2 linked regions of the Callithrix jacchus genome follow. The protein of the gene in region 2 interacts with the protein of the main gene of each other region in a biochemical or structural test. Links are inferred from orthologs where the notes say so. Each region holds a gene or a part of one and is shown on either strand. Other genes may lie near its edges.

What was found.
Region 1: the proteins of ARHGEF16 (region 2) and TAX1BP3 form a complex in vitro, tested with the Homo sapiens proteins (2 studies listed by BioGRID and IntAct, with this or other methods). The link is inferred for Callithrix jacchus from reciprocal best matches to the Homo sapiens genes ARHGEF16 and TAX1BP3.

Annotation. Positions count from the first base shown.
Region 1 is NC_133506.1:67,210,750-67,215,145, forward strand, and holds the start of TAX1BP3 (tax1-binding protein 3), read right to left. Parts: upstream 3,063-4,396; coding exon 3,024-3,062; coding exon of another isoform or gene 2,489-3,023; intron 1,338-2,488; coding exon of another isoform or gene 1,237-1,337; intron 1,132-1,236; coding exon of another isoform or gene 1,006-1,131; exon of another isoform or gene 863-1,005; intron 92-862; coding exon 1-91. Other genes in the region: uncharacterized protein LOC118153673, read left to right, coding at 1,006-1,131, 1,237-1,337, 2,489-3,179; EMC6 (ER membrane protein complex subunit 6), read left to right, coding at 3,699-4,031. UniProt on the Homo sapiens protein: May regulate a number of protein-protein interactions by competing for PDZ domain binding sites. Binds CTNNB1 and may thereby act as an inhibitor of the Wnt signaling pathway. Competes with LIN7A for KCNJ4 binding, and thereby promotes KCNJ4 internalization.
Region 2 is NC_133508.1:41,339,463-41,343,259, reverse strand, and holds part of ARHGEF16 (rho guanine nucleotide exchange factor 16), read right to left. Parts: coding exon 3,382-3,797; intron 1,661-3,381; coding exon 1,615-1,660; intron 645-1,614; coding exon 475-644; intron 1-474. UniProt on the Homo sapiens protein: Guanyl-nucleotide exchange factor of the RHOG GTPase stimulating the exchange of RHOG-associated GDP for GTP. May play a role in chemotactic cell migration by mediating the activation of RAC1 by EPHA2.

The sequences.
Region 1 (4,396 bases), on a different chromosome or scaffold from region 2:
TCTGGGAAGGATCCTGGTCGATTCCACCTCCAATGCTGAAGCCCAGGATTAAGTTCTCACCTTGACGCAGCTTGTGAATTTCAACTCTTTGCTGGCAAAGAAAAAAGCAAGTTGAGGGAGGTGGGTGGGTGGAGAATGAGGCTGCTGTGTGGGCAGCAGCCTCAGCACCATGCTAAGGGGGTGGGGCCCAGGCCCCTGCAGGAATCCAGCTGCTTGGCAGCCTGGGAGGCACAAGGACCTTGGCCACATCGACCCACCCATGCAGCCCTCTGGCCGCAGCCTGTTACCACTTCTCCTGTGAGTCTCAGGCCCTAGTCTTGGTCAACATATGCTCTAAGCCCCTCCTGGCCCAAGGGTCAGGGTGCTACGGCTTCTGTGGGTGGGAGGCCCATCTCCCAGGAGGTGCTCTGGAAAAGCAGAGACCAAACTTGCATAGAAAGGGGAGAAAGGGTTTGCCGGCCACAGGGATGAGAGCACAGGCTTCAAGGTGCTGTGGATTCGTGTTGGTGAGACGAGTGTACAGCACGGGACACAGAACTAGGCGTCGAGATGAGGCTGCAAGTATATGGCTGGGGCCACATCCTGTCCTGGAAGGGGAGTAGGGGCATCTCCCTAAGCCCTGGGCCCTGCTCTCGTGCAGTGCAGAGTGTTCTAGGACACTCCCACCATGCTCTGGGGCTGTGGTCCCCAACTGTGCCAGATTCCTTTCAAAGCCCTTGGCAAGCACCCTCCAGTTGGCAGATGCTAGGAGCCAAACCAGATCACTCCAAAAGTTGAGAGTTTTAACAGGAAGGGGAAAAGAAAAAAAGATGATGAACTAGACTAGACCTAAAGAGCTTTCCCAAAGAGGGGGTTCTTTGTAGCCTGAGGGGGTGAGGAGTAGCCTGACCTTGATCCTCAACCCACTGGAGTTCTCAGGAATTGAGTAGGGCAGGGCATGGTCAGCTCTGCTGCTAGAATGACTACTCGTGGTCAGTAGAGGAACGGACATCTCACAAAAGCAGGATGCCGAAAATGGAGATCTACAGCCTTGGGGAGCACTCATGCAGAGGAGGAGTCCAAAGGAGCATCCAGACACCTCGCCTGGCTGAACACATCACCCAGATGGAGACCCAGAAGGAGGAGGAGCAGGTCGAGTTGGAGTACCAGGAGCTGTGGGGCAGGTGTCCAGAAGGCAGATGGATCTATGGAGCCAGAGTTCAGGGGAAGAGTCCTAAGTGGCTTTAATATTCTCAGAATTCTACATGGGAGACAGTGGAGACTGGGGAGTCAGCCTGTCCAACCCCACCCCCAATCCAAGACTCAAGGGAGAGGCCAGGCCACACACACCACGTCAGGCATGTTCCTGGTGTTACTAGAATTGGGGGGCATGGGCCTATAGTTTTGGGGAAGGCTGTGAGACCAATCACGGCATGAGGGAGGGGGACAGGCAGCATAATCCCTGAGGCCCACTGGGCCTGTGTCCTCATGCCCAGAACAGCTTCTCCAGGCCTGCTCCACGTGGTCAGAAGGATACAGGCCTTTGGGTTGGGGGACAGGGCTGTCACTGATTTGCTGCGGGAGGTCACATAGAAGGTGGCTTGCTTGGCTCCTCACCTGCCCCTGCCCCACTTCTAGCTAAAGAGCAAACCTGGTACCTTCTCTCTGGGGCAGCTAGGAACCTAGAAAAGCCAGGCTGGGTGGGCGAGGTGGCTCAAGCCCGTAATCCTAGCACTTTGGGAGGCCGAGGTGGGCAGATCACTTGAGGTCAGGAGTTTGAGACCATCCTGGCCAACATAGGGTCATCTCTACTAAAAATACAAAAATTTGCCAGGCATGGTGGTGCGTGCCTGTAATCCCAACTACTAGGGAGGCTGAGGCTGCAGTGAACCAAGATCATGCCACTGTGCTCCAGCCTGGCTGACAGAATGAGACTCCGTGTTAAAAAAAAAAAAAAAAAAAGCTCCAGGCTGGTGTGGGGCTGCAGGGAAGGGGAAGCTTAGGACAGCTGTCAGCTGGTCTGGCAATGCTTCCTCCGGGCCTGGGCCTGAGTGCCACCTTTATCAGTGACTTCTCTGCCTCCACCCACCTGACTGCTGGACACACCCATCTGAGAGTACACAGCAGGCCCCCACGGCTCCAGGGCAGGGACTTTCACTTGACCCATTGCCCACCGGGCCACCGGGCGGACATTTCTTCCCTTTCAACGCTCTCGGGAGGTGGACAGGAGACCTGAGTCTTTCTTGACGTCGTCTTTTCTGGCCGAGCACCATCAGACAGACTTTTTTCTGGGTCTCCCCACCTCTGCCAAAGGGTTGGCCTCCAGGCCCCGTCCCACCTTGACACAGGCGTCTGAGTCTAATATCCCAGCCTCCCTCCCTCTGCCTAATCTAATAGTACCCAGCACTTAAAACAAGCCAGAGGGTGGACAGGGGCCTAGGCTAGTCCCCAGAGGGTCTCCTCAGGTCTCAAGTGCCAGAAAGAAGGCCTGGACTTTTTTTGCCTTAAGGGTTGGAGATCCAAGAAGAGGAAATGCTCATCCCAGCTGTGTGAGCGCCCACCCTGGGCCGGGCAGCAAGGCTGGACAGAAAGGGGGAAGGGGCTGCCACAGCAGGCTCGGGACAGCCCCACCCCCAGATCTCCCTCCGGGCGGCGGCGCAGGCTGCAATGGAAGAAGCATTTCCTCATTCCAGAGGCTGCGACTCATGGACGTCGGGATCCGCGCCCGCCCCCCCTCAGCTGCCCGGCTGGGGACACGAAGGCCCGGGAAGGGGGCGCTTTCCCAGGCTCCGTGGCCCTCCCCGCCCCGCGCGCGCGGTCTGGGCTCTGTCCAGGGTCTAGGGAGGCTCTCGGGTCCCGGCCGTCCCTGTTCCGTGGCTGGGGCAGCTGTGTCCGGCTCCGGCAAGGCGAGGACTCGAGCCCTGGCCGCCGGTTCGCAGGAACCCCGGGTTCGATGCTTTGTCAACCTGCTTGGGGTGTCAGTTTCCCGCTCTGGGAGGTGGGGTCGGGCCAAGACGAGGAGGAGCCCGCGCAAGCGCACTCACCACCACGGCGGTGACCGGCTGGCCCGGAATGTAGGACATCTCGACCCCACTCTGGTCGCCCAGCCCCACTCGCAGAAGCCGGCAGAAGAGTTCCTGCGGCCGCGCCCTCGCTGCTTAACAAAGGCCGCCCTGCTCGGCCCGCCCCCTCATGAATAGTTAGCACACCCGCCAGCCAATCACCGGCCGAAGCGCCACTCCACTTTCCGAAGTTCCGGCGCGTGCGCAAAAAAAAAAGGGCTGGGGGGGAGGGGGTGGAGCGTGCCCGGGGCGCCCACGGCGCAGGCGTGGAGGGCGGGGTGGGATCTGGGCGCGTGCGCAGTCCGGGACCTCCCGGCAGCCTTCAGCGCAAGATGGCGTCGCGGGAGTCTTTTCTCCTACCCGCCTGAAGAAACGCTAAGTACGGTGTCCGGCGCCGTATTCCAGGTAACTGGGTCAGCGTGGCCGGAGAACGCAGACGCGCCACCGCCTCCCGGCCGGCCCGGACCCTCAACCTTCTCGGCGTCTCTTGAAGGTCCGAGGCCCAGGACTGGTGCCAGCTCTTGGAAGCTCCGGGGGAGGGGGCGGCGGCGGCGTGAACCCAACTCGCCGAGCTCTGGGCGCCACTTGTAACTTGGTTTTCTCTACAGCTCCGCGTTGTCCCGCCAGAAAGCGAGAAACTGAGCCCCGGGGGGTGCGATGGCCGCGGTGGTGGCCAAGCGGGAAGGGCCGCCGTTCATCAGCGAGGCGGCCGTGCGGGGCAACGCCGCCGTCCTGGATTACTGCCGGACCTCGGTGTCAGCGCTGTCGGGGGCCACGGCCGGCATCCTCGGCCTCACCGGCCTCTACGGCTTCATCTTTTACCTGCTCGCCTCCGTCCTGCTCTCCCTGCTCCTCATTCTCAAGGCGGGAAGGAGGTGGAACAAATATTTCAAATCACGAAGACCTCTCTTTACAGGAGGCCTCATCGGAGGCCTGTTCACCTACGTCCTGTTCTGGACGTTCCTCTATGGCATGGTGCACGTCTACTGAAATGGGGGCCCGGGGGACTTTTTTAAACCACCAGATTGGGAGGACTCTGGCGAGAAGTTAACACCGTGTAGACTTACCTAGTTTTTAAATGGTTCGATCCGCTGCTTGTTCTGTAACGTTATAAATAATTTATATCTGAAGACGAAGAGCCTGTAATATTCTTCAGATTAAATGAAGCGTGAGACACTTTGTAGAGTTCTTTCTTACCTTAACGCATAGTCTGCCATTGGTGCAAAAGCGCCAAGATTTGACTCCTGGAGAGCGCGGACTGGCTATAGCCTTGTGTTAAGTCCTTGCATTTACACATAGGCCATCCAGAAATGGGCCCTAAGGGCCTGCATAAGGAAAGAACTCATTATTAACAT
Region 2 (3,797 bases):
CCCCCATTTTCCGATGTGAAAAGCGAAGGGGTGGCTTGGCCCTGGTGCCAGCTCTAAGCCCCAGCCACTCCCATCCCGGCTGCCTCCTCCAGCAGATCCTCTAGCCCTTTCCTGGGAAGAAACTCCTGGTGCCTGCAGCTCCCTGAGGGGAGTCTGAGCAGGGCCGCCCCTTACATGCATGATGGTAGAGGGCAAACTGGCATGCCCGGTGGCCCACCCTCCTGTGACCACTCCAGGTGCTGAGCCAGCCCCACATGGGCAGGGCAACGCAGGGCACAGGAGGGAGAAGGGAGACCCACAGGTCCGCTGCCCACAGCCAAGGGGCTTCTGAGAAGGCTGCCCATCGTCCCTGGGAGAACTGGGCCGCTGCTGGGGACCAGCCACTTGGGCTCGGGAAAGGAACAGTGGCATGGGGGAAAGGCTGTGGCTTCTGCCTGCCTCCAGGGGGCGGCCTCACCCACCCTCCACCGCTACCTCCGGGAGCTGGCTCCAGGTGACCTGGGCGGGCCGGTAGCTCTTGACCACAATGGTGGCATCCGCCTTCCGGCCTCCCTCGGGACTGGAGGGCTCGTCAAGGATGTCATCATCAGACTCCTGGCTGGTGTTCAGGCCCCGCTCCTGGATCTCCTGGTAGAACTGGGGGTCTGGAGAGAGAAGCGGGGATTGAAAAAGGCTGGGCCTCCCTGGAACCCACAGGCTGAGCCCTCCCCAAGGCCTCTTCGGAGCCCTTGATGGGATCAGGCAGGACAGGCCCTCCTGGGCGGGGTCCTCTAGAGCCCACAGTCTCCACGGCTGTGAGGGAGAGGGAGGCTCTGGGTGGGGGCCGCCTAAGGTGCTGGGCAGGAAGGTGCTGGGCAGGAAGGTGCTGGGCAGGAAGGTGCTGGGCGCCAGTCCTGAGACCTCTCCCACACCACAAGCCCCTCCTGAGATGGTTTTCCCAGAGATTTCTGTAGAGGAGGCCTCAGTGTCCCCTCCTGGGCCCATGCCTGTCCACAAAGCTGCTGGGGGCTAGAGCGGGCCACTGTGCCTTGGGGCCTCTGGACAGAGGCCAGGCCTGGAGCTGGGCACTTGAGGCCCCAGTCCCCCCAGGCCTCTGACCTCATCAAGTACTTTGACCCCAGCAGCAGGCACCTCCCTATGTCAACCTCTCGTGGGATGCTCTCATATCCCACCAGCTGGCTAAGTGGGCACTTCCCCACTCCAGCTGGAGGCCCCAACACAGGGCTCCCCTCCAGCCTCGGATTCGAGACAGAGCCCGTGGCGTGGGCCTGGCGTCCTCGGATATGGCCTTGGTCCCCCACACTGCCACTGTAGGCCGAGCCCAGCAAACATATGGATGTTCAGGGCAAGTCTGGGGGCTCTGTCTGTGCCCTGCCCTTCAGATCACATAGAATAGAGTCCAGGGGAACTTTCTGGATCTTTCTAGACTATTCAAGGCTGCATGGTCAGACCAGCCACTGGGACCTCAGGACCTCAGCCTCTGGAAGGACCCCATCAAGCCGCTTTGATAATCCTGACACCGAACTGACGCCCACCTGACCCCCAGGAGGTCCCAGTGAGACCAGCTTCTACTGGAGCCCCTCCCGGTCTGCGGTACCTCCCAAAGCCACTCACCGTCCTTGAAGGAGCCCTTGTGTCCACGTTTCCGCCCCAGCGTCTTCTGCACAAAGGAGACACAGAAACCGCAGCTGTCAGCCAGGGCAAGTATGGCTCACCACGATGCTACACCCCAGCCCCGCCTGAGCCCAGGCCCACCGAGACGCTGCACCCCAGCCCCGCCTGAGCCCAGGCACACCGAAACACTGAACCCCAGCCTGCCTGAGCCCAGGCTTACCGCGTCACTGTACCCCAGCCCTGCCTGAGCCCAGGCCCACCAGCTAAAGAGACCCCAGGGACCTCACGGCTCCACGTTTGAAGCTGTGCCTGATGGGAGGGGGCCCTGTCAGGCACACAAAAGGTGCACAATAAATGCCAACTCCACAGGGCCTCAGGACCGCCTGTCTAAGCAGAGGCCAGGACACGTGGCTGAGGGCCATCAGGTCCAGGAGGGCTGCTTGGAGGAGGAGGAAGGGTTGAACTCACCATGAGGGGATGCTCAGGAACATCGAGCAGGCCTGGAGAGAACCCGTGGCAGGGCAGGTATGGGTGGGAGAGGGCAGTGGAGGGACAGTGGGGCAGCACATAGGCCCCTGGGGACCAGGACCGGGTGGGTCAGTGTCCAGCCCCAAGCAAGGGCCTGGGGGACATAGCAGAAGGCCGGGATGGCAGAAGTGATGAGAGGGGCTGGGTTTCTGGGAAGCCCCCACGCTCAGGTGCCCGGCTCAGAGCCCACCCTCCTTTGCTGGGACACTACACTTGTCCAGGTGTGCTGGTTCCCAAAAGGAGAGGGGCTGATTTGTTGGAATGAGTTGGGGCTTGAAAACTCCCCTTTCTGGCTGGGAACATGAGGCACTCCCAGCTGCACCTGGCCTGGCACCCTCAGCCCTGTGCCCCACACCCCACCTCAAGCGCTTCCCCGGTCCCTCTTGCGTCTCCCCCACCCCCCACCCCGTCCTCTCCTTTCTTCCTCTGCCCTAACTCTCCTTACTCACCAGCCCTGCCTGCGCCCAGGGCCACCAGCTAACGAGGCCAAGCAGGGTGGCCAGAGTCCCAGTCCTGGCTGTGTGGGTGTCCAGGTGCCACGCAGCTCTCCCTGAACACGGCTTCCAGCTCCAAGGCTGCCTCAAACCAAGGCTGGCCCCAGCCATAGGGAACAGTGACTCGGGGGATGAGGGATGCTGGGCTCAGGAGCCCCAGGTGGCTGTTCTGTCCCCTGGGCCCTAGTGGCACATGCAGCAGGCTACACCCTGCCCAGAGAAGGGTCTGCCACCACCATTTCCCAGACCTAGAGTCACTGCCAGCAGGCAGGGAAGCAGGGCTCCGTGTACAGAGGGAGCATGCAGACTCCTGAACCCCCAGCCGCCACACGGCTGCCCTGCTGAGTCCCTGTCCAGAGCTGCTGGGGCAGATGGAGCCAGGCCAGTCAGTGCCATAAGGCCACCCTGGACTCCATCATCCAGGCAGGCCAGCTCCTGGCCAGGGCTCGGAAGCAGAGGCTAGGCCCTTCCAGGGACCTGCCCTCCACCAAGGCTGGGAGCAGGGACACCAGAGTCTAGGGGCCTGGGTAGATGCCTTGACCTTTCTCAGCCTCTGCTGCCTCCTCTGCGAGGTGGGATCTTCACACTCACAGACTGGGCTGAACTGGAATAAACCAGTTGAGAGCCCTTATGCAGCAGGTGCTTACTAATGGCAGCTGCCGAGATGCAGATGATGATGGTGGGCCGGTCAGGCCACCCCTCTGCTTAGCAGCCCCTCCCATGGTCCATGTGGGCAGGCCCCTACCTTGTGTCTGGCTGGGCTCCTAATGGCAGGCTGGGTGGGCTCCTCGGCCAGAGCCTGCAGCTTTGGGCTTAGCTGGATGGTGTCCCCCTGGCCACCTGGCTTCCCCAGGCCCTTCATGGCTGCCCGGTAGGATTGGTTCCGTAGGTTCCGCCTCAGCATGCCCCTGGGGTCCGTGTCCATGTCCATGTCGTCCAGGGAGAAGCTGGCGGCTGGGAGGAGCTGGGGGTTCCGCCGGGCAGCCTCCCTGCTGAGCACAGCTGCCCCAAAGCTCTGGTGGCGGGCTGGGGTCTTCGACTTGCTGGCCACGGCCAGGCCCTTGGGGATCATCTGCTGGGTGCCCAGCTTCAGGGCCGCTGGGCTCTCTGTGCTCAGTATGATGGGCCGTGGCTCCTCATGCCCTGGGGGCCGAGGCTCTG